Drosophila melanogaster: one gene and its partners. Changing the gene in region 2 together with the main gene of any one other region gives a genetic interaction. Each region holds a gene or a part of one and is shown on either strand. Other genes may lie near its edges.

What was found.
Region 1: of wit (region 2) and cmpy, changing one suppresses a phenotype caused by changing the other (phenotypic suppression), as found in Drosophila melanogaster (one study listed by BioGRID).
Region 3: of wit (region 2) and twit, changing one enhances a phenotype caused by changing the other (phenotypic enhancement), as found in Drosophila melanogaster (one study listed by BioGRID).
Region 4: of wit (region 2) and spin, changing one suppresses a phenotype caused by changing the other (phenotypic suppression), as found in Drosophila melanogaster (one study listed by BioGRID).

What each region holds. Positions count from the first base shown.
Region 1 is NT_037436.4:20,713,176-20,720,744, reverse strand, and holds the start of cmpy (crimpy), read left to right. Parts: upstream 1-1,544; 5' UTR 1,545-1,751; intron 1,752-3,434; 5' UTR 3,435-3,599; coding exon 3,600-3,946; coding exon of another isoform or gene 3,947-3,950; exon of another isoform or gene 3,951-5,061; coding exon 5,062-5,192; intron 5,193-5,586; exon of another isoform or gene 5,587-5,592; coding exon of another isoform or gene 5,593-5,748; intron 5,749-6,212; coding exon of another isoform or gene 6,213-6,533; intron 6,534-6,585; coding exon of another isoform or gene 6,586-6,645; intron 6,646-6,867; coding exon 6,868-7,064; intron 7,065-7,133; coding exon 7,134-7,261; intron 7,262-7,444; coding exon 7,445-7,463; 3' UTR 7,464-7,569. Other genes in the region: CG34260 (uncharacterized protein), read right to left, coding at 5,593-5,748, 6,213-6,533, 6,586-6,645.
Region 2 is NT_037436.4:4,068,677-4,073,492, reverse strand, and holds the start of wit (wishful thinking), read left to right. Parts: upstream 1-1,775; 5' UTR 1,776-2,084; intron 2,085-3,211; exon of another isoform or gene 3,212-3,310; coding exon of another isoform or gene 3,311-3,790; intron 3,791-3,852; coding exon of another isoform or gene 3,853-3,864; exon of another isoform or gene 3,865-4,004; intron 4,005-4,031; exon of another isoform or gene 4,032-4,124; intron 4,125-4,816. Other genes in the region: Faa (fumarylacetoacetase), read left to right, coding at 124-341, 402-1,003, 1,062-1,408; CG32259 (uncharacterized protein), read right to left, coding at 3,311-3,790, 3,853-3,864.
Region 3 is NT_033779.5:20,850,856-20,857,644, reverse strand, and holds twit (target of wit), read right to left. Parts: upstream 5,068-6,789; 5' UTR 4,897-5,067; coding exon 4,827-4,896; intron 1,502-4,826; coding exon 1,289-1,501; intron 1,228-1,288; coding exon 1,010-1,227; 3' UTR 532-1,009; downstream 1-531. Other genes in the region: CG14400 (uncharacterized protein), read left to right, coding at 1-494.
Region 4 is NT_033778.4:16,123,258-16,127,984, forward strand, and holds the start of spin (spinster), read left to right. Parts: upstream 1-1,723; 5' UTR 1,724-2,119; coding exon 2,120-2,525; intron 2,526-4,727. Other genes in the region: CG30095 (uncharacterized protein), read left to right, coding at 227-440, 828-995, 1,058-1,320. UniProt on the Drosophila melanogaster protein: Probable sphingolipid transporter that plays a central role in endosomes and/or lysosomes storage. Involved in TGF-beta-mediated synaptic growth regulation both pre- and postsynaptically via its function in endosomal storage regulation.

The DNA of each region.
Region 1 (7,569 bases), about 17 Mb from region 2:
GATTTTCATTTGTATAAACTCTATTCCATTTAAAAATTATGAAGAGGAACTTTTTATGGGCTGTCAACATGTTGTTTTAAAATATATGCATATATCTTTTTTATCTTAACCGAATGTTTTGATTCCCACTGGAATGCCGCATTGATTACCAATTTTTTCCACACTGCACCGATTTTTTCATATTTTCGTTTCAGTTGTTTTTTTCACCATTTTTTACATTTGGTGGGTTGAGCGTTTTCTTTACGTTCCATTATTGCTGTTGAAAAAGTTTGCCCGCTCATAATTCCCGATTGCTCTTTTGCTCAATTGTAAATCGGAGGGGTGTTGGGTGGATACTCAGTGGGGGCTTCGGGGATGGGTATATTCGGCAGCCCCGGTCCACAGTTGTTTTACGCAACATTTACTGTGGCATCGGACGCATCTTCGGTGGAAATTTTGGTGGGGTGGCGGTGGGCGTACGTGGGCACCCACATCTCTGGAGCTCGGACTTGAACTCTCTCGTGTTCTTTTAGACTCAAACGTCTGTTTTACGCTAATTGGAAAAGTTGCAAGTTTTTTGCCTTGCTTTTTACCAGTAAGGGGGGCTAAATGGCAGGGGGCGGACTTTACTCGATAGGCCCGTGCGGTGTGTGGCTTTTATTGGAGGCAAATTGCTTAGAGCGATGCTTATTAGCAGCTGACACGGCTGCGGCTGTCTCATCATCAAAGTTGCGGCCTAAACTGCGAGCAGCTTCAAAAATACGTATACAAAATAATCACAAGACAAACGACCTGACTTTCATACTTTTAAATTGGCCATTAGCCCGCTTTCGCGATAGGCCCTGTCAGAGAATCTCGGCTATGCCCTTCCCGAAATCAGCTTAGTCTTAAGCCCCTGCATCCTGCTCTTTATTTGTAATTATAATAAACAAAAATGACTTTATATTTTGAAGGATGTTTCTGCATCCGCTGTTTGCTCTCGTCGCGCCATTATCATCAAGAGCTCTTCGCTAACGCGGTGTTTATGCGGCGCCGGAAGTTGTGATTTTAATTTCGGGTAATTAACTATTTAAATTTAAAATTTAATTCAAATTAATCCATGTCATAGGACTGTCTAACAAATTATATCTAGCCAGATATAAAATATAAATATAAAATATTTACTTCCATAAAAAAGTTAAAAAAAAAAACCCAAAATAATGATATATTTTTACGAGAACTTAATATTCGGTTGCATCTATAAACATATGATAGGGACTAAGACTTAAGATTACCGTTCAAAATAAAAATGGGAAATTTTTCTCATACCCTCCTTACGGCATCATTTCGAAAATTGCCACCGTGTAAACCCGAATTTCAGAAGTACTACGAGGGTCCTTCGCGGGTTGCGTCTGATGACTCTGCCTTCCAGGCTCAACAGCGAGAGCGCCTGCGTGGTGAGAGGAAATAGTGGGATATTCTTCTGTGGGACACCAGAAACAAGAACAAAAACACTGGAATATCCCGAAATCGGAGCGATATATGTCCGTTCTGACTGGCAAATGGTCTGTGCAGCGACGGCGGCAGCAGGTTAGTTCAGTCTCTTGCCTTAAATGGCCGCGTGCGGCAGACAAAAGCGCATGAAAAATTCATTGGGAACCGTCGGAACCGAAAGTTTAGCGTCAGGATAGCGACAACAACAAGGACCACGGCACTACTATAGCGAATATAGTATATCGAGTGCTAGTCCTAAACGTCTATCGTTAGGTGTAACGAGGTGTGCTTCTGTGTGTGTGAGTGTGCAGTGTGTGTGGAGGATTTGTGACTGTGTCAGTGGCGTTGTTAAAAAAAAACACAACAACAATTGAATGCCAAATTGAAAGTGGTTGACAGGCAACTGGAAAAACAACAGCCAAGGCAATAGCTTCGAGTGTCCTTTCGGCCAAGGCAAAGTGAAAGCAATACTCATCCGAAAAATAGAGAAAATACACAAAACAGCGATCAAAAAGCAAGTTGCAATTGCCGAAAGCCTATTATTTTTCCATTGATTTCCCAGCAAATAAAGTGAGCAACAATTCCGAAAATATGTTGTAAGCCTGGACTCTTCTGTTTCATAGTGAGTGGGAGTAGTCACAGAACATCAAACGTTTAAATACAAATTAGTATGGCATGTGTTCCAACAAATTCGATTTCCCCCTCATGCTGTCTCTTTCGCACACGCGTCGTTCCGTCTCTTTCTGTGTTAAATTTTCAACAACTTTTTGGCATGTGGCATACTTTTTCGGGTTTCGTTGAAATTAATTCCCGAAGTTCTGTTTTCTGTTTCGATGTATTTTTCTTTTTCTTTTTTTTGTTTTTGTTTTATTTTTTTTGTGGTGTATGGGCAGAGAGTTCATTTTCCAGGCTCTGATTTTGGCCCGTTTTGGTTAATTAAGCCAGCGAAGTCGTCGAAGTGCGATTTGAAGCCAGCTTGAGCAGACATTGATTAAAAAAATGTCGATGGTGTCATCAAGTTGAATGGGAAAACTTTAATTGGGAGCAACGGTTGCGGAAACTTTTTCAAACTGATGGACAAATACGTCGAGCTTGCTTTCAAAAATGACTTTTTAATTTGAATCTGATTAAGTTTCTGTAAAAGTTTTCACAGTCAATTAAAATACATTTTCTGTGGAAAGGAAGCAATACATTGACCTTTACATATTTTTTGATGAACAATGTTTTTCTGACATCAAAAAGGCTTTAATTCACTAATCTAAGAGATGGCTAAATGCTGTTTGTATGTAAAAGTCAATTAATTTGCTTCTGCGAATCCGTTTTAATTTAAATAAGTTACAATGCGATAAAAATGCAATAAGGATTATCTCGCAACCACTAAGGTTAATTAATTAGTTAATATTTTTTATTTAATTCAATGCCTTAAAAAGTTTAATATTAGATATGTTTTTTTATACATGTACATTGTGTCTGTCAAAACTCCACTTTCGCTTTATTTCATCTGAAAGTTTTGTAAGCCACTAATTGCTAATTTATGGCCCAACACGAAATTGGTAGAAAGCTATGAACTTAATTTAATATTTTATTTATTCCAACGCTCGAAAACTTAAATACAAACTCCTTTGTGAAAAATTACATTTTTTTATAACTAAAAAAAAGAAATGGAATAAATTGGGTTTTAAATAAAATGTTGCTCATCAGAGTTATTAATGAATAATTTGATTGGCGCATAAAGTGTCACCGTTTTGGGATATTTCAATTTAGCGAAACACATTGCGGAACCATTTTACAAATTTATGACCATCGAAAGTAGGCAGGCGTCAATGAAATTTTAATGAAATTAGACCGGCAAGCGATTTCCGCAATTTTACAATTTTCAATTGTAAAACGCCAATTCTGGAGCTATTTGGGGATGGGTCACAGAGGTCCTGTCCGCAGTTTATGGCATTTTAATCATCTAAGAACGCTCTTGCTCTTTGCAGTCAACATGCAAATTGCCTGCGCCGGACCCGCAGTCGAATCCAGGGCCAGAATCCTTGCCAGGCATCCTCATCATCAGCAGCAGCATCATCATCATTGGAGGCAGTGGAACGCAAACGCACCGTAGAGCCAGCCAACAGGGCGCAATAAAAATTGCCTTTCGATAAATGGGCGGAAGTGCCAGAGGCGTGGGGCGGAGGGGCGTGGTCCTGGAGCAGGATGTACGCACAAGGTCGTCGCAGGGGGAGCGAAAGAGGGGGCTCGCTGGCAAACAGCAGCACAACAATGCCAAGCTTCCGCTTAGGATGCGCTCGAACGGAAGTTATTTTGGCCGCCTGAACGTGAGCGCGCTGCTCATCTACTTGTGGTGCTATCTGCTACTGGTTATGGCAGCATCTGGCGGCAGCAACCACGTGGTAAATGGCCTCAAATGCTATTGCAATCCGAAGGAGTGCGACGTGATCCGCTCACCCGACTGCCCCGGAAAAGGACTTATGCTGTGGGATCCATGCAAGTAAGTCCCGCTCCCAGAGCTCCAATTAAAATGATATTTTCCGGCCTGTACATGCCATCCATTTTGTATGCGAATCAAACGAAGAAATTGATATTAGGATTTATTCCAGCGGTCAGAACTCTGTTTGAAATTTTCATTTCGATTTGGTAATCTTTTGACTTTTGGTATAATGGAATAGAATTTTCTGTACGGTAGTAATCATAAAATCATTCTATGATTTAATTATTTATAAAGTGTTCCATTTTGTTTCGAGAAATAGTCTTGTTATCAAACCAATTAAATTAATTTTAAATTTCGGTTTGTACCTTTACCAATATTTTTGTTTCCAACATAAATTGGCACACTCTAAATTAGGTTTATTAGGTGCACAAAGCTTTGTTGTTTTGATTGCCTAACACACGAACGGGCTTTAATTTCCTTATATTAACGTTGGTTGAACAATGGTGGTCAAAACAATAGAAAACAATTTAATAGTGTGTCATCCTGATGCTTTGATGATTACCCACAGGATTATCAACGTTTCTATTACATGTATACATGTATATATCAAATTATACTTGTGTTAAACTCCCATGATTTTATGATTGATTAAACTTATTAATTGTTTACATGTTAATAGGAAACTACAGCGATAATTTTAATTATAACATTCCATATTAGATCCGTGTTTGATATGGATATTGTTTTGAATCGTACCTCATTTATCGTTAACCTATTATAAATTGTTTGGTTTAAATGATTCGCAGAGACGTTTTTACTAACTATTTCCTAACTAAGCATGAAATGGTCACAAATTCATAAGCTCACCACGATCTTAATAATTGGCATTGATATAATTAAGAGCGTCAGACATCAGAGTGTCTCCTTCGAATTCCAACCCAATTCGCATCGTGAGTGACTGATTGGACTAATGGACTGATTGGAATTCACATCAGGCATCGTTCTCCTCATCTCACTCCGAGTAGAGAGTGTTAACTAATTGTTAACGTTTATCGAATCGAAGACGGAATCTAATCAATTACTACTGGGATTCATTCCATCCATAGTCCATTGCGAGGATTATGCCCACATCTATTTATTCTATATGTCATATACACACCTCCAACTATTCGCAGATGTTGCCGCATATGCGCCAAAACTTTGGGCGAATCCTGCGGCGGTCCGGGCGGATTTTCCGGTCAATGTGAGCCGCCCCTGCAGTGTGTGACCAAGCTGCCCATTAGCAGCGGATTGGGCGTGTGCATGGGTGAGTCCTTAGTTTTATGTACACACTACAAATGTGCACTCAAAAAAAAAAAAAGAAGAATATTCCGTTGTACTTTAATTTATGTATACATATCTAAGAAATACCACCTTTGATCAAATAAAAGACTTTTTATTCATGTTAAAATTTCTTCTAAACTTGTGGATTGGATTTTGATATAATAATAAGGATGTTATTATTGATATTGTATTTATTTGGTACATTTAAAGCTATTAATATATTACAATATTATTTATCGCTGGGTCAAAAAAAGTTTTTTCCAACGTGCATTTAGCACTTGTAAAAATAATAAAAAGGGTGTATGTGGGGTGGGGCACCGGCTAGCTGGTTATTGTTGGGTTATGGAGCATTCGTATTTAGTCGCATCCATTATGCATTAACATCACGTATTATAGACCACAGCGCCCTCAATTGATATGTCCGCAACCAGTTCGGATCGCTTCAGCAATTTCAGTCGCACTTGCCATTTGGCCTGCGGAGCTCCTGGCGGGAATTCGTCCGAAATGAATGTATAGTTGCGGATCTCGTACAGTTTTCCCTGCATAATTTGATGGCATCAATTCGGGTTTTGTGTATAATCGTGTTTGGGGAATTAATGCGTCCCGCTTGTGCAGCAATTTGCAATGAAAATGGAAAATGGTAAATGAAATAACTGCAGAATGTTGTTCAATTTTAACTAGTTTCGTTCGACGAGAGTGCCACAACACGAAATGTTGACAAATATTTGCTTTTATTTATTGAAAGTTGAATCTCAAGGGAAAATATTTGTCTTCATTCTGCTGTGCAGGGCAGGGGCAAAGTTTGACTAGTTCCAAAAAACAAGCGGAAGTCTTATTTCATTAAATTTCTTTCCTGGCTTGTTGTCATCGTTTTGATAAGAGCTGAAGTTCTCAAATTGTAAATATAACTGGAAAGCCAATATTTCTTTAACATATTACGAAAAATATTTCCAAATCTATAACAAATGAACAATGAAAGATTAAGGATGCATACGTCACTAACCTTCGAAACAGGACAGCTGTCTGGTAAATTGCTGACCGACTTGAGCCTTTTAAACAATTTGCCAACGATGTTGTTTTGGTACATTGAGCCCAAGTATTTGCATCCGTCTATCTTGATATCGGCTATATTCATGCGGCTTTTATCCTTTTTTATCAAATCAAATGTTGCAAGCACGTCGAAGTGCTCGATGGTTTGATTTAAACTGAATTTAACCGCTACCACTGCAGTCCTTTGTCGCACAAGTAGACATTCCAAGCTATTGACATATGCCTTGGCTATAATTTGGCAGCCAAGTGTTTTGATCGCAATGTCATAGTTGTTCTGGCGGGTAGAGTTTCTTTTTAAAATATTAGGCGGGGCAAATACAACAAACCTTTGCCAGTCCCAATTGAAGAGGTAGAAAAATCAGGAAAAACGAAAGCCGGGCCAGCATTATGCCAAACTAAAGCGAAAAATTAGATTTGGGTCGGCTTATATAGGCCTCGCATAATTTAAAATAAACGCCACCATAATCTGTTTTAATGCACTAAGAATCAAAGTTCATTGTGGGGCTTAATTACCATTTAATGTGTGATTAATACGACCCAGAAATACTCCCCTTTTCACCGATTTCGTGTTAATAACCGCATTTGTTTTGCTTGTGTTTTTGCAATAGATTTGCAGCACCTGACCGCCCTGACCTACAGTCAGCACGATAATTGTTCCGACAGCGATTCGATTGTTTTGGAGCCGGGCTGCGAGATCACCAACAAACGCTGCCAGTGCTGGCCAACTATGCGCACCTGTCTCAGCGAACTGACCAGCGATGGGGGATCCCCCGACGACTCTCGCTGGCACTTCAAGAACCTAGAGGTTGGTACACAAATCATACATCCACACACACACAAATTTCCCTTCTAATACGCCTTGATTTCCCGACAGGACTGCCAGTTGAATCTACAAAATCTAATAAAACTCGAACAGGAATTCGATGAAGACTACAAAATCTCACCGAGCAAATTCACATACAAAAAACTACGCAGAAAGCGAAAATCTTTAAAGAAACGAATGTAACTAACTAACTAATAACCAAGGGCTTGAAATCATATACAAAGGTGTCCAAAAGTATGCATATGCTAATAAGTCTGTGCTCATTAGCTTATTGTGAACTTTTAGATACCTTTATAATGGGCTTCAAAGCTGAAGTGATTTCACTAATTTGTATTTAATAGCGAAATTCCCTTTTTTTTTAGCATCATCTTGAAGGATTGAGCCCTGAATGCGCCATTGCGACTTTCTGCGTTCCCAGCTCTTAACTCAATAAAACAAAATGAGGAATCTCTGTACAGATAGTATGCTTACTTCTAACTAATTATAT
Region 2 (4,816 bases):
TGTTTACGAAAACAATATGCTAATCCAATCTTTAATACCCCAGCAACCAGGTTCTGATAAGGCCCCATATCATATATCGTATTTGTATATCGTAAATGGTGTTTTTCATCTTACCATCCGTAGAAAGTTCACCGTATTTGTGTGGCCATTGGAGAGCATGTCCTGGACCTGAAAGCTGTCTCGCAGTTGTTTCCTTTCCAAGTTCAGAAAAGCCTGCAGGCCGAAACTTTGAATGAGCTTATGGGATTGGACTTTGAAGCTTGGGATGTGGTAAGAAGCCAGACTCAAAAGCTATTGACGAAGGGTTCAGAATTGGACCACAATGTGGACTTGAAGGCGGTGTAAGTCGGATTTATTATAATAATTTATTATTCATAGTTAATAATTTATTTATTTATCAGTTCCATTGTGCCACAGTCTGAGATCAAGCTGCACCTGCCTGCACAGATTGGTGACTATACAGACTTTTACTCATCCATCCACCATGCCACCAATGTCGGCATTATGTTCCGTGGACCAGACAATGCTCTGATGCCCAACTGGCGCCATCTGCCGGTGGGCTATCATGGTCGTGCAAGTTCTGTGGTGGTTTCCGGTACTCCCATCCGTCGTCCTCTTGGTCAAACGTTTCCCGATGGAGCAGAGAAGCCCGTCTTTGGCGCCTGCAAGCTTCTGGATTTCGAACTAGAAATGGCTTTCTTTATCGGTGGTAAGGGAAATCAGCTGGGTGAACCCATACGCGTGGATGAGGCCTGGAAGAACGTGTTCGGTTTCACGCTGATGAACGACTGGAGTGCCAGGGATATTCAGAAGTGGGAATATGTGCCACTGGGCCCCTTCACCGCAAAGAATCTGGGAACCACCATCTCCCCTTGGGTAGTGCCCACAGCTGCCCTGAAGCCCTTCGTCTTGGACAACTTTCCTCAGGAACCGGAGGTGCTTCCCTATCTGCGCCAGAACATTCCCTTTAACTTTGATATCAACCTCGAGGTGTCTTTGAAACGTAAGTTGCCGCCTGTTAAAGATTTGTTACGTTAATTCACAAAATTTCCCCTTCTCAGCCGCCGATCAAAACGAAGCGCTTATTTCAAAGTCGAACTTCAAACACCTTTATTGGACTCCACTGCAGCAAATCGCTCATCACACAGTCACCGGTTGTAATCTGCGTCCTGGTGATCTGATGGCCTCCGGAACGATCTCCGGTGAGACTCCAGACTCGTACGGATCACTTTTAGAGCTCTGCTGGAAGGGCACCAAAACATTGGAGCTTCCGGGTGGTAAGACCAGAAAATTCCTCCAGGACTTTGACGAGGTCATCATCCGTGGCCACTGCGAAAAGAACGGACTGCGAATCGGATTCGGGGAGTGTGTGGGTCAGGTGCTGCCTGCCCACCCCGTTCCGCAGTAGGACCACTTATTAACATAAGTAAATGAAATAAATTCTATTCAGTCTTCCTGGATACGTCAATACATTATGATGTTCGGAAAACTTCAACTTTTCGTTCAAAAGCATACTTTTTGGGATAAATGGCCATCCATAGTAGCGTATACGTAATATTTTTTCTCGGTGCACAGTAATAAGCTCAACAAGTGCTCAACTCTTTCGCTCTCTCGCTACGATGCCTTGCTCTCTTTCGTTTACACAACTCTCGCTCCAATCGGAGCCTCTGCCATTCCACGCAGCTTCGTAAATACGCGCACGCCGCTTCTTCTTTGGCTGCAGAGAAGAGCGGAGAGCGCCAATGGGAGCATAGCTGAGCGGAGCAGCAAACCGCATTCATTCCTCGAAAGTCGGCGGGCGAAGGTGGGCGCGCTGCGAAAAGTCAAACGGCAAAACGGCAGAAAGGCAAAACGGCCCGCCTATCGGGCAAACTTGTTTAAAGTGCCATAAAAAAGCCTCTAAAAAGCGTAGAAATAAAAAAAGCTGCCGTGCAGCGCAAAGCAGACGCGACTGGCGCCGGTGCCCCAATAATAAATTTTCCGACGAGTGTGCAACTTCTTTCGGTTATTTAAAACAAAAGAAATAAATAAGTAATACAACTTAAAGTGCAAGTGCAGTGGTTGAATAGCGCCCTGAATTAAGTGTAAGTGCTGCTCGCAAATTGAAATTAAAATTAGTGCAGAATAGTGCAAATGTTTTCCGCAAACAACGCTGAATGTCTTGGAAAAATCAATTTTTTACTCCACTCTGCGCAAGTACACACACACAAATACGCTGACTAGCGAAGGGCAGACGGCGGGTTGGGGTGGGCCACCCACCCTGGCAGAAAACACTCTGTCTGCTCACAGTACACATGCACTGTTAGAAATGTTAATATCTTTTGCACATTATCACATAGTATGCATATGGATGTTCTTTAAAGATATGTATGTAGAACAATTGCGTTCGAGTAGTAGGATCAAGGGGCCATTGAAATTATTCGTATTTTGGATACATTATAAAATAATATACAACCCATTTGTTTACTGTGTGGAATGAAGTCAACAAGAGACCTCCGAATCCATACCCATTCAAATTCCCTTCGCCATTGTTGTTCTTGCTGTCCTCCGCCGACTGCATGCACTTTTGTGTTTTTGCATTGATTTTCCACATCGTTTTTTACACCGACTGTCGCAGTTTGGCCAAATGCATCTGCAGCACGAAGATGTATCCCCCGAATGGCGCGGATGTGTCTGAGGATGGGGACATGGACAAATGCACACGCAGCACGCAAAAAGTTAATCAGGCCCCAAAGAACAACAAAACGGTGGGGCCCAAAACACACTAACAGCGAAGGAGAATGTGAGCCTAAAGACAGTTTTATACCCTGTGATAAAACGAACTATAAACTAACATAGGTTCCTGTGTTACAATGTGATTTTTCTTAATTCATAAGTATTAGGAAAATTTATTGGTGCAAGATTTTAATGCAAGATAGTTTTAGAGCGTGTTGGGTACACCCTGACAAGTGTAGGGTATCGAGCAGTATTTGCAATTAACTGGCGCCGTCGGCTATCGTGCGAGAGCAGCCGGCGGGTTCCGCCTCCTCGCCCGCGGGTCCTCCTTCGGCCCACTCCACGGAGCACTTGGGACAGCGCCAGTTGAACCTGTTTTGGCGCGCCAGAGACACCGCTCTCTAGCTTCTTGAGTTCTCTTCATGTGCGCATTTGCTGAAAGTGGAGAAAGGAGAGGAAACCAGAAGCGAAATGGGAGAAAAGAAAGGCCAGAAATAGCGTCCCTTCGAAATTATAATTGCTCTATAAATTGAACATTATTATAATCATGATACAAGAAATATTGTACGAAAATGGAAAAGGAACAGAAAATATTCTATTCGGAGCTTTTCTTCAACTGGGCTTTATCGCGTTGACGCATCTTCCAAAGTTTTTTCTGGCGGACGAGGTCGACAAGATCAAGTGGTGATTGCGGGACGACTTTCGACATGATAGCATCCAGTTTGGAGTTAATCATGTTAACCAAAAGTCCGACTGCATTGACAACCGACTGCTGATCATTTGGATCCACTTCCAACAAGGCTTCTGGTATTGGTATTTCTTGAGCTGGAGAGTGCTCTGAAGAACCCGATGAAGAGTCAGAGTCCTCGCTTAGATTGGCCTCTAATATGGCTTTCGCTAATTTTTCAGTTATCGAATCCTGTGAGGAACCTGATGATGGGTCGGACTCCTCGTTCTCATCTGAACCATCACAGTAATCTTTCGACACGTCTGATGAATCGGAATCCATTTGCAAACTCTTCTTCGCGTTGGAATCCTCAGTGGTGTCCGAATCCTTATTGCTACGATTTGGGTTCTGCATGAAATGTGGTAAATGGAATATGAATGCACTCAGGACACAATTAACCAACAACATACCATCTTATTCATCTTTCTGAAGAGTTGCAAAATAGTTAAGCACAATGACGAAGCCAATAAAATTCACTGCAATCCAGAAAATGAAGTAAACGAACACAAGTTCTCCACTCATGACATTCGAGTTCAGAATGAAATAGTTAGTTGGATATTCTATGATATCGATTTGACAAGTAACTTACAGCGTGCTGGATAATAAAATTAGCAATCCCACAAAATCGAATCGAATCGTTCTCTGCAAAAATTGCTGAATAATTCTATTAGCTGTTGGTCAGCTGTTTCAGGCAAAAGGAACTGTCAAACATTTTGACAGTTCATCAACCCCTACCAGAGTTGTCACCATCTATGGCGAAATAATCTAGTATTTATTTAATGCTAGATTTTTTGTAAATCAACATATCGCGCTTTTGCTTTCATTCTTGATTCACTTGCATGAATTTCTTGAATGGAAAATGCCATAAACAATAGCCGTAATCGCATGATAAGTCTATCCTGAACTGTCTGATAAATTGCTTATCTTGGCTTAAATTTCATGCCTCGTCACCCACAATTAACCCAAATGCCGCCGATGCAAATTTGTTACCAGCTAGGTATAAACACATTTTTATTTGCCAGTGTGTACATACATATGTATTTATATGTATAAGACAAGCTAACGTATCCTATAATTGGAGCGTAATAACTTTAACCAGCCACATAATTAATGACGGCAAAATTTCTAATCAGCATTCAGGGGGGAAACGAGTGTGAGGTGGAGTGTTTTCAAGAATGCGTGCTTATATACATATGTACATATGTACCTTTCGTTAATGGATGATAAGGGGGATAAATTAAAGGTAGTTCATTCATAGGGGTACACAATTGTGTAAATATATTCTCGCAGTTCCATCTAGATGCTCCACACTGCAATCGAGCCTCAAGTGAAATGATTCCTATTCTGGCGGCGCCTGGTTCCAAATCGGTTCCA
Region 3 (6,789 bases), on a different chromosome or scaffold from region 2:
AGAGAAACGTGACAGTTCGTCATCACCTGCAGGGTTATCTCATCCGCGAACAGATCCGCGAGCATCTGGAGACCCTCAACTGCTCTGATCTGTTCCAGCAAGCATTGCAATCCGAGGATCATGAGCTGGGCAAGTGGCAGTTGGCTATAGGACAGCATTCCCGTAAACTCCACTGTGTGTTTAAGCCAGACCAACTGACAAGGATCCTGAAGGCAGTGATTCGTCGGACGTACACCCTGGAGAGATCCACCAGGCTGGCTGCGCTTCTCTACCAGCTGTATATCGGCAATCGAGAGTCCTATGCTGCAATGGTCGAAGCCGAGTTGATGCTTTACGAGCGATATAAGAGTGGTGAAAAAAATAGCCAAGAATTCAGCGGATACATGGCTAAACTCTGGCAAAGTATCCAAATTGAGGAGTTCTATCCGGGGTTGGATCAAAACACAAAACAACGACTTGTTGACGCAATTATAGACCTTCTGAAATTCCTCTAAGTCCAACCCATTTATGTGCGAACTTTATTCGGTGATTCGGTTTTGTATATTCGAGTGCTTTAATACTTTGATTTTAAGTGTGTGTTTCTGTTTGTCTAGCTTCTGAGATAATTACATAGGTGAGGGCTTGTGTTCTTTACATTAAAATATCATGTTGTACATAGACTAATAAGTGAGTATTTACTGTGCTTGGGGGTTTAATCTCTACTGATTATTGTTTCATCTATTTATAATTTCTTTCGTTATGGTATTGTGTTGTTTGGTAAATGTTTGAATTGGATTTCATTCGGAATTTGAGCTTTGAGCTTGGCAAACATCGGCACTCGGCCAGGCAAACTATAAACCTATAATCGAACCCTAAACTTCCATTTGAATGTAAGCTAATGAGTGGGGGGCAAGTGTCCCCGAAACTAAGTTAATTCGAGCTAAACGCAAATGTAAATCAGCAACAGCTCGGCCCGAGAGCCAGGCAAAATATCACGTTCCAACTGAAAATCGACCTGGGGATCTTTTGCTTAGATGGCAAACTGTTGGATGAGGCCCGCGATGGGCAGGAGCAGCAGCATCTCCAAAATGGATGCACCTGCTAAGGCTCCGTTGCAGCGATCGGTGAGGCAGTCCTCGCAGAATATCCGCCGCACGTTCTTCTCCGGACTGGTGATGTTGCACAGCTCCACGGGATCTGATTTGTTGGTGTAGTAGCAGAATCGCTTGGTGATCAGCTTGCCATTATCTGGAATTTGTTAAGATTGCTTTCAATGTGTATGCGGAAGTGCCTCGGTCTGATTACTCACTTTCCTCCACGGTCTTGCGGCAAACGGCCCTCTCGTGATCGGAGTTAATGGTGCCGTTGCAGCTCCTTAGCAGATTTATATTCCGCTCCTTGATCAGGTCAGTGGGAATGTTGTCCTCCTGGAAGGTCACGTCGCAGAAGTCCTCCGCCCCAATTGTGTCCGAGCTACAGTGCCAGCACTGCAGGTGATGCTTCTGGTGCTGCTCATTTATGGCTGTAAATAAAGGGGAAGTAACTCCATCAGTTTTGACTTCAGTTGACCTTTCATGGGGTCATATTTTCCACCGAAAAGGAAACTTTGTTTGTGAAACAAATAAACACAAAAGAGGGTGACACAGTTTGGTGTGGCTTTCCTCTGTGGACTCCAGTCCGAGGTTGACATCATCATCTTCATGTGCCGCCCCTTTTGGGTCGCCCACTGCGAAAACGGAGAATGCGTGGGGCCAGTCGATGTGGCGCCTCATTCGAATTTTATTACGTATACGTAACCGAATTCTAGTTGTTAAAGTGCGGGGTAATTCGAAATTTGTGGAGCGGAGAATAAAGAATCTCTTGCTAAGTAGTGAGTGGAAACTGAACCACTACTTTAAATAATAAACTAAATAACTAAGTAAATTGTTCTTTTTGTACCATATATGCACAATGCCTTAGAAAAGTGGTAAGATGAGTCAAGTTTGTATGGTAAAGTACCATAGTTTACCAGTGATATTAGTACTTTTCACATGAAAAAATTAAATGCCAGAGGTATGTGATAGATTTGAAGCACAATGAACGACAAACAAAAAGTTTGTTTAAATGTGTTAAGCTTTTGCAGCCTGGAAGTCATTTTAATATTTTTTCCTTTTGTGAACATATTACTAGTTCGGTTTCTGTTTATTTTTGTTTCATAATAATTTGTTTTTCTTCAGTTCACCGCGTTCATTTCGCACATTAAAATAAATTTTCACACCTTTAACATAAGAATTCATATAACAAACTGTTCGGATGAGTCTCAACTATTTATAGAATTAGACAAATGATTTAATTAGTCCAAGAGCCTAGATGATGTGGGAAATGGGAAGGGAAACTCCTCTAATTGTGTTGATAAGGTTGCGTGATTTGGCGCGACAGTAAATCAAGATCGTCGGTCGTGTCCTTGAAAGAGTTTTGCATGTCCGGCCCTTTGAAAATGCCAGGACATGCCTGTTTACCACAGGAAAAGGCAAACATGCCACGAGTTCAGTTGCTCAACTAGAGCACCTTGAGGGCAAACAGTTTTGAAAGGGGTTTCTTAAAGGAGTGGTGGCTGTCAAATATTGACTATAACATATTTATAATTTTCCTTTCCCAGCTAAATTATAATATTACACTAGAGGTGGCGATATTACGTATACGCTCCGAAGGCTCCAGTTGCAGTGACCTTGGGATGCCAGTTGGTGGAAAAGTTTGGCAGTCTTATATTGACTGGACATATGCAAAATCCATTGCCACACCGTTTGTATTCTTTCGGCTCTTTTGTTCAGGGGTCTTTAGAACAGTTTCAGGTAATTGGCACAGTTCTAAGTTGGTGTAGTGTGGGTAATTGATTGTTTCCCACAGCTACACACAGAAAAAGTTCTTAGGCTTTCTATTCTGTTATCAAGGCTCATAATGGATATTGCAAAAGTTTATATCCTCAGTAAATATCCCTTTAAATAGTCCTAACAATTTTTATTTCCAGTGTCATCCAAGGTCGCCGTCCAATGGTTTTTTATCGCCCACGCTTAACACTCTAAAAGCATTCGCTGAGGTCACGCACATGGCCCGACTTGGTGTGGCTTCTTTTAAAGCAGTTCTGGGGTAATTGAAAGCTGAGACTTGTTTTGAAGGAAGTTGCACTCAACGGCCCTGCCTGGGTTCCTTTGGAAATATTCCGCCCTGAGGACCGACAACTCTGCCTTTGCATCAGCAAAAGCACCCCCATAGAAATGTAGCGCGAGAATAACAAATATAATACGATACGGATCGGATGTGTGTCAGGATAATCTCAACTTCCTGGCCGAAGGTACTCCGAAACTTTTATCTGCCTGCATTATCAGTTGGCGCAAATTACGCAATTCAAGTCGGGAAGCGCAGAGAACTAACCCCCAAACTGGCGGCCAGACTTTGACATAGTTTCCTGCCAAGTGTGGCTAGAGATTTCTGGGGGATGCGGGATGCCAGATGTCGAAGACAGCGGGAAACTGGAGCAGGCGACATCCTGGCGCCACTCTGACATGCGCACTCCCCGAATCTCGTAAACCCAGATTGAAACGCAAGCAAAAATAGAGCAATTAGATAATTGCAGGACACCGGGAATGGCTAATTGAGAGCAACAGGGGGCCGGAGCTGCTGCTTCGATTCACCGCCTAATGACCCAATCACAATGCCCATTTCTCAATCACCCTCATTAAAATCAGGAGCGATTCAAAGGCATTCAACGGGCCATGGAAATGTTGAAAATGCATTCGGCGTTTGGATTCTGTTTGGCAAATCATGTGGGCCGTTCCGAAATGACTGTGGAAATAAATATCGAAATGTCTGGCAGTCGGGCGAATATTTGTATTTATAGGGCATGCAGGTTGCCAATCATTGAAAAGCGTGAAAATTCTCGAAACGCGAATATGCACGTGTATATATAGAAACCGATGTCCATCAAGGAAGCAATGACCCACGAACTTGTTCCATACGCGATGAGGAAATGTGCAGTATATTATGAAAATGGATCAACAGAAATTATTTTACCTAACTTCGGGCATTTACTTACAAATCGGGATAGCTATACAAATTCTCACTTGAAAATAAAGCCTCTTTATTGTATAATTTTAAACTGGCCTAACTGCACGCAACAAATAATAGTGCTCATAATTTTCAAATGTCTTTTCTCTTTCTACACGTGTTCAATGCAAAATATACAAGTGAGCGCTTCTATATTTAAGCCCACATAGCCTCCTATTAATATTTCATTATATTCCACCCATCTTTTATTAATTTGTTTACGACAGATAAAAACAGACCCATCATTTTAAGTGTCGTCCATAAATCCGCTTTCGAATCGCGCGAAACATAAATTGCCAAGTATATTTTATGGATTTCACCTGAAACTTTTTTAGTTGTAAGCCAAATTTTGAGAATTTTTATAAACACCGCAAGGGAAAAGCGCTAAATGGCCGGCGGAAAAACTACATAAACAAATTGCGCGAAAATTGGAAACAAATTTCATTCATGGGCTCTGGGTCTGAAAACCAACACACCCCAAACTTTATGCGGATCCGTGACCTTGTGGGCCAGATGGAATTACAGGTGCACAGAAGAAAATTGCGGTCCAAAATTATGCTGGATTTCGAGTACATTTTGTAATTAAGCATAGTGTTTACTCTTAAAACCACAGAGCTTTTACAATTTTCTCTGTGCACCACGCACATTGGAAAAACTGGATAATTAGACCAACTTCTGGGGGGCTTTATGTTTACAAGGGGACTTAAGAGCGTTTCAGTTTGCCGATCGACACTTTATTATTTTCGACGTTTAACACATCTCACCTGTGATGTGCCAGGCATTGGCCAGCAAGAAGAGACCAGCCAGAAAGGCTTTCATCGGCACCGCTGACATGGCTTCCTTGGAATGTTAATGCGAATCTTTTGGGGGATGCGGAACGCGACTTGGTGGCGCCTCTGCTGGGTGGCGAATACTAGGTCCTCCGAGGGTTGGATGGATGGGCTTCAAATCGCTTCGAGAGTGCGCGCGATGCAGACGGTTGCTCGGCCGAGGAACGACTGTGGATGTTGCCGAGGCTTCTTCGCCAGAGTGCCAAAGTCTTGCTACTGAATGTTGCTGGCAGCGCAGTCGCGTCGCTGCCCGCACTGCAGCTGTTGTTGTTGCCTTGCTTCTGGGGAAACCCTTAGTCGCCACAGCACTTTTTTATTTCCTGCCGTATCAAATGGATGCCCACCAGACAGCCAGCCAGACTCACGCATTCGGCGGCTCTGTTCGTGGCCAGCGTTATGCCTTTTTTTTCGATTTCATTGAGGGCACAGCACACAGTGCAGCTCAATTGATGACGTTTCTTTTGGCAGCGTGTGGCTTGCTCGTTGTTTGCTGGGAAAACAAGCAACGTAAACAGGCTTAGATGGTTGTGCGTCTTTATTTATAAGTATCCGGATGTAATGTAATTAAATTACTATAACTTGTATATAAAAGTGGAAATTTTAAACATATATATTAATACCTACCATAAGCATATATCAAATACAAATAAAATATACATAGAAGATACTAGCATTGTGCATAATTTTGGTAGTTCATAACCAAGCTGACAAGGAATTGTACATCAACAACATTGTTACATCTACGCTCATGTCGGGGTATTGAATTTCAAATTTCATTGGCTACCCCGAAAATGCTCGAAATAGGGTTATGATGCAAGCAAGAAGATTGAACAACCCTTAAAGTAATACTTAAAGTAATTTTATATAATAATAAGAAAAAAGTACTTAGTTTATATACATATGTAGTTTGAAACATTTGAATAGCTGTGATATGAACCAATTGAATGGTGGCATGGTCACCCCAAAACAGAGTGGTTTGCAACTTCGCTAAGCGTTGACACAACGTCAGCCACAAAAAGCTTTTCCTCCCGAATTTTTCATTTGCAAATGGAAAATTTCAGCAGATTACAAGAAGCCTTTTTAATAAACTAAGCCACGATCGGTCAACGACACTGCTAAGGTGATTTAATCCACTCTAAACACTTCCCCCTCATTAGGCAATTGGTACATATATCTAGATCTGAATGCAAACAGCCATCATAAATGGTTAAATCACCAGCAACAAATGATTCATGAGTGCAGGATGCAGTGGCACAAGATTTGGCAAACGCAGCTCGGCGGAATTAGCCAAATTTGGCAACACTCCTACCAAATTGGCGACACACGCACCTGGCAGATATACGATTTCGTATGCAAATCTTGACACTAATCTGCGTCTCAGTTGCTCCTCCTCCCAGTAGTTCCATGCCCAAAAGTTGACAGAGCGTGAAAAGGCGCACGCACCCCCCAGTTCGCCAATGGAATCGGTTGGGTCGGATCGAATCGGATCGGAATGGATCGGGCCAAGAATAGCCGGGGTTAAGGCCTGATCGGTGGAAACCGCATTCGAGTCCACTGACTGCGCATGCGCAGCGATCAACAGCCAACAGCTGCCCTCCGGGGCGTATGCGTAACATTCGATTGTCGATTCTCAATATATTTTCCAAAGCGGCTGCGCCATGATAAATGGCCAGTTTTATTGGAAACTCTGTACGACATTTTCGCCAGCCAACAACACACGCCGAAAGCAGCAACAACAAAAATAAAACTAAAAGCCAAAACAAATAAAAGCCGTGCGACAAGTTTAAATGGCCAAAAGCCTAGCTGCCACCCATTTTATATATTTATTTTGCGTTATTTCACTCGATGTTGTAAGTGTTTTTCTTTTTTATGACAGCCTTCACATTTCGTGCCATGT
Region 4 (4,727 bases), on a different chromosome or scaffold from region 2:
TGTTTGTTGTCATGTATATTCCACAAATGTAACTTTGAGTGCAATGAACTTTTTGTGGCTGGCAAATTGGGTTAGCACATGCAATGTATCCCTATTGCCTGGATTTATGTCAACCTCGAGCACAATTAAAATCAATAGAGAGCGCAGTGAAATCATTCAGGTGTCTGACAATTCCTGCAGGACATTCGTCAGTCACATTTATTGCTGGCTAGTGGAAAGTTCGACAATGGAGCTGCGTCGGAAAATCGCTCTGCATATTCTGCCCCTATTTTTAGCCATATTTCTATTCACCATGGGCGAGGCATATCTGAAGAGTGTCCGCGTGGATGAGATTCCCTTTGCCGGAAGAAAGGCCCTGGCCAATCGGCGGTCCAGCGGTATTCATCTCATCTCCAGTCTGGAGCATCAGCGCACTTTTCTTCATCTCTTCCATGTGCCCTGTAAGTTAAGCAATCTATTTCGCAATCGAAAGTGTTATATACAAGAATGGGCCATAGTTTTTCCACATTTAACTAGAATGTTCTAGATCAAGATCTCTGTATTTTGAACAAGGATTAGAACATAGGTTTCTGTGTGATATCTTCCCAATTTACAATAGTTCTTTTCAGTTTAAAAGACATCCACAACGCATTGAAATCATTTTAAGAGACGAATACGGCTAAGCCTAAAAGTATGCTATACTTTTTCACAATTTATCATATGTCGCAAGGAAACAATGAATAAACTTCTTTAGCAACTAAAATATTTAAATTTTTATCTCCTCAAGCATATGAATACTTTTATTAAGGCTAGCAGAATTACAAATCGCTTAAATTTTTACATTTCAGACATCATATGCTTTTATGCCGCGAAGGGCAAATGGCCATATGTGCCTGGATTCATGAAATACCGGGTTGACAATGCAGCTCGCAGTTTCTTCAATCAGAACGACAGTTTCATCAAACAGTTTTGCACCAAGTGGATTCAGGTGAAGGAGTGCTTTCGTCCCTTATTCGGTGGGTGGCAACTCTTTATGGAGTTCAGACATAGATTGACCTATTTAGGCACCTCTTTCCAGACAAATCAAATAACACAGATGTTGAAGTGGAAACGCTCGATGCAAAAATTCAGGGACAGCGTTGTAATTGTGACAAATTGTTGCTCTCAACGGAGCCACCTGTACCGGTCGTCTACTTCGACAAGAACTACATTGGAAACGTCAGTTCGGAAACGATTTTGAATACCATTGAGTTTCTTGAGAGTTTCCTGCCACCGCCCACTAAAAAACACAAGCGCAAGAATCGCGTTCGCGGGCGCGTAGATGATATGGATATTGAATAGAAATCGTTCTTTTTCATTCGCATATACCTTCGTAACGCACTTAGATTTTAATCATCACAATCATAACCAAAAAATCATCGCTTAAATTTGAATTCAAATTCGGTTGTCAACAGTTTTCTAGAGATAAGTGGTACACTATCTGTAATGCTCAGAATATTATGGCAAAATAAAAATTCTTTAATTAACAGAGCGCAACTTAGCTTGTTAATATAGATTCTTGTTCATGTTTTTGTATTAAATGTAAAAATATTTATTAAAAATTGCTTTAAATGTTTTTTATCGATAGGCATAGCTATACCGATATTAGTCGATAGATATGCAGCTGGTCTTAGTTTATCGATAGTACTATCGAAATTGTCATCGCCAATTGGATTCTGGTATATATTCGCGGTCGCCGGACGGTCACACTTATTGCACTTACTCCAGTTGGAAAGGCAACAGTGTTCGCGTCGCGGAAGAAACAAGAAAGAAAAACAGCGAGAAGCACTGCAAATGCATTGGCTGCATTTAAAGAACAACCGCGATTAGAGGAAGTGTCTCAGTACACAGTCGAATTAGCCATACAAATTGGCAAAAGTGTTATAAAAGAGAAGCGCGGTGGTGTGCCAACAGCCCAAGAGCAAATTCTTTTGCATTCGCTTTTGAACCGCTTTCATCGCGAGTTCCCGTTTCTCTGTGTGCGTGAGCAAAGAGCGTGTGCAAATAACTTTTTGCCGCGTTGTCCGCCTGCTGCGAATTTCCAACCGAAAGAGGACAGCGAGAGCGCGAGAAGAGAAGAGAGGATCGAGTGATCGGGTGAATGTCGCTGAAACACCAGAAGCAATCCTACCAACCGCTCCCAACGGCGGCCGCCATGGACAATCCGGCGATGATCCAGAGCAGCGGTAGCAGTGGGAGCAGCTCCTCTGAGGAGGGCGGGAGTCGTGAGGATGTGGCCAATCTATCGCCGCTCGGACTGCCTACGACCTACTCGTCACAGCAATTGATGCCCTCGGATACGGACAGCATGGAGGAGGAGCGGCACCGACTGCGTCCCCACCACCATCACCACCACCCACTGGGCGAGCACCACCACATCCCGGGCATACCACCATCCGCCGTCGTGCCATCGCGTCTCTCCAGCGTGGGCAGATCGCAGTGGTTCACCGTTACCGTGCTATGCTTCGTCAACCTCATCAACTACATGGATCGCTTTACGATCGCAGGTGAGTCCGGTGATACCTCTTTGGGTGTCCTATGGGATTCCATACGTTTTTTGGGGGGCTTGTTGCCGCAGTAGATAGGAAAATTTGTTGACACTATTGAAGAAGATTGCTATAGACCGCTGTAAAAATCACAACTTTTGTGTGACCAAAAGATTGGGCAGCCCAAAGCACTTATAGTATGTATTCATTTATATATCAGGCAAAAGAATAATAAAAACATTTAAATTGCACAAAATCTGCTGACAAAATCATAATGTTATTAATTAGCAGCCGCTAATCAACAATACTTGTGACCTAATCAGTTGAAATTTATACCTCATCGTCGACAATGCGAGTCGTCGCGTTCCCATTGTTTACAAAATGTACCATAAAGATTGCGAGCGAGAGAATTTGATTAGTGACTAATCTACTTACAAGTGAATCACGCGATCCAAAAATATTCATACAGAGCATTTTATCATTCGATTCGCTTTGCACCGAAACTCGGGACATTTCCACTGGGTGGGCAATCAATCAAGACCCATTTCGCCTAAACCTAAACATATGTATATTATTTCTAGCACTCAGGTGCGATAAAATGGAGTGAGTGAGCACGGCGGTGGCGGCACCTGACCTGCTTAGCACGGCGGGTAATGGTAGTTGCGATCGGCGATCAGAAAGTCCCCCGCCCGCGTGACAATTACAGGGTAATCTCATGTTTCAGTCGATAAATACAGACACACTGCCCACATAATTGTTGAGTTTATTATTATTAAGAACATTAGCGAAGGAAATTGATCTTAATTCATGCGGGCGGCATTTCATTGGACACTTGTTGAGTGCCGAAGTTCTTTTCACTGTTTACTTGTGTCTGGAAAATGAGACTACTACCGATTGCACTTGCACTTCGACTGGCGACATCTTAGTTACACAAAACGCGGTGCAAATCGATTGGAAACTTGTTTCAGGTTACATGGCGAAACAAGTTGTGACTGATTATTATACGTACAAGTCCGCCTCAGACGACCGTTTAATATGCATTTCTAAATATGTGTATATTATAGCTATAGTTTCGCATTTTCTTCGTGAACCTGAACAGCCAGTTCTTCCTGAGTCAGCAGAACTTTTCCACTCAAGGCCATGTGATAACGTCTTTTACTGTATGTGTAGTTGCAATTAATTTGCAATTATAAATCACTGGCTATTAGTTATCAGTTGATTGCCGCAGCGGCAATTGGAAATCGATCTTACAACCCTTTTTTTTCGGTTGCAAATCATAAGCTTTTGATTCGTGTAAAGCCACCGGATCGAGTGACTAAAAAAACATCATACGACTTTTTGCAACAGAACAGGAAGTGGAATTACTCACCGAAAAGGGGCGATAGCACTTACATACCGAGCCAAACAAAATCGCTGTTTACATATTATATTTAATATAAACACACATCGCTACTCGCCACTCGGAAATTTTCATTATTTCCATGGGCGCCTAATTGATTGTTTATTTTGAGAATTCTGCGAGCGCAAGGCGAAATAGAAAACTCATATAAACAATGGTCGGTCGCACAAGGTTTTTGTTTTGCCATTTCTGCCAGTGGCATTGTTATCATTATCAACCCCCCCCCCACTTTTTTGGGCCTTATCAAGAAGTGGCTGAAACCAGACGCGCTGCATAATCAATTGCATTGGATCACCAGCTGCAGTGCACGTGGTGTTTTGGGTCACTTTTTTGCAGTGATTAGATTACCAAGCGATTATTTGTTTAGCTTCTGCTAACTGACTGCTCTGATTGCTTGGCCCTTTTGTATTTAATGTGAATTTCGGCATTTGCAACGTTTCCGTGTGGTTGTATATAACAAGCAAAAATACATGCATACATATGCATATATTTATTTGGCGCACATAGACGTGTGTATCAGCTGATGTCTGCCCAACCTAATGGAATGCATTTAATTATAATTTTAAGTGCGTCTCGGCCTTTGGCTTCGACCTCCGACTTTGCTGAAATTCGCCTGGTTTTTTAAGCTAAAACCGACCGACTGACGGTAGTGGTGTGATGTTTTGTAACCACCTCGTTCGGTCAAAAAAAAAAAAAAAACACTGGGAAGCCCCCCTCTTCATTCATGATCGTGATCTGTGTGAGGGTGGATGGGAAGGGGGGGGCGGGGCTATTCTGTTGTTGACAGTAAATTCAATTTCTGCACCGACAGCGAACTTTGATCA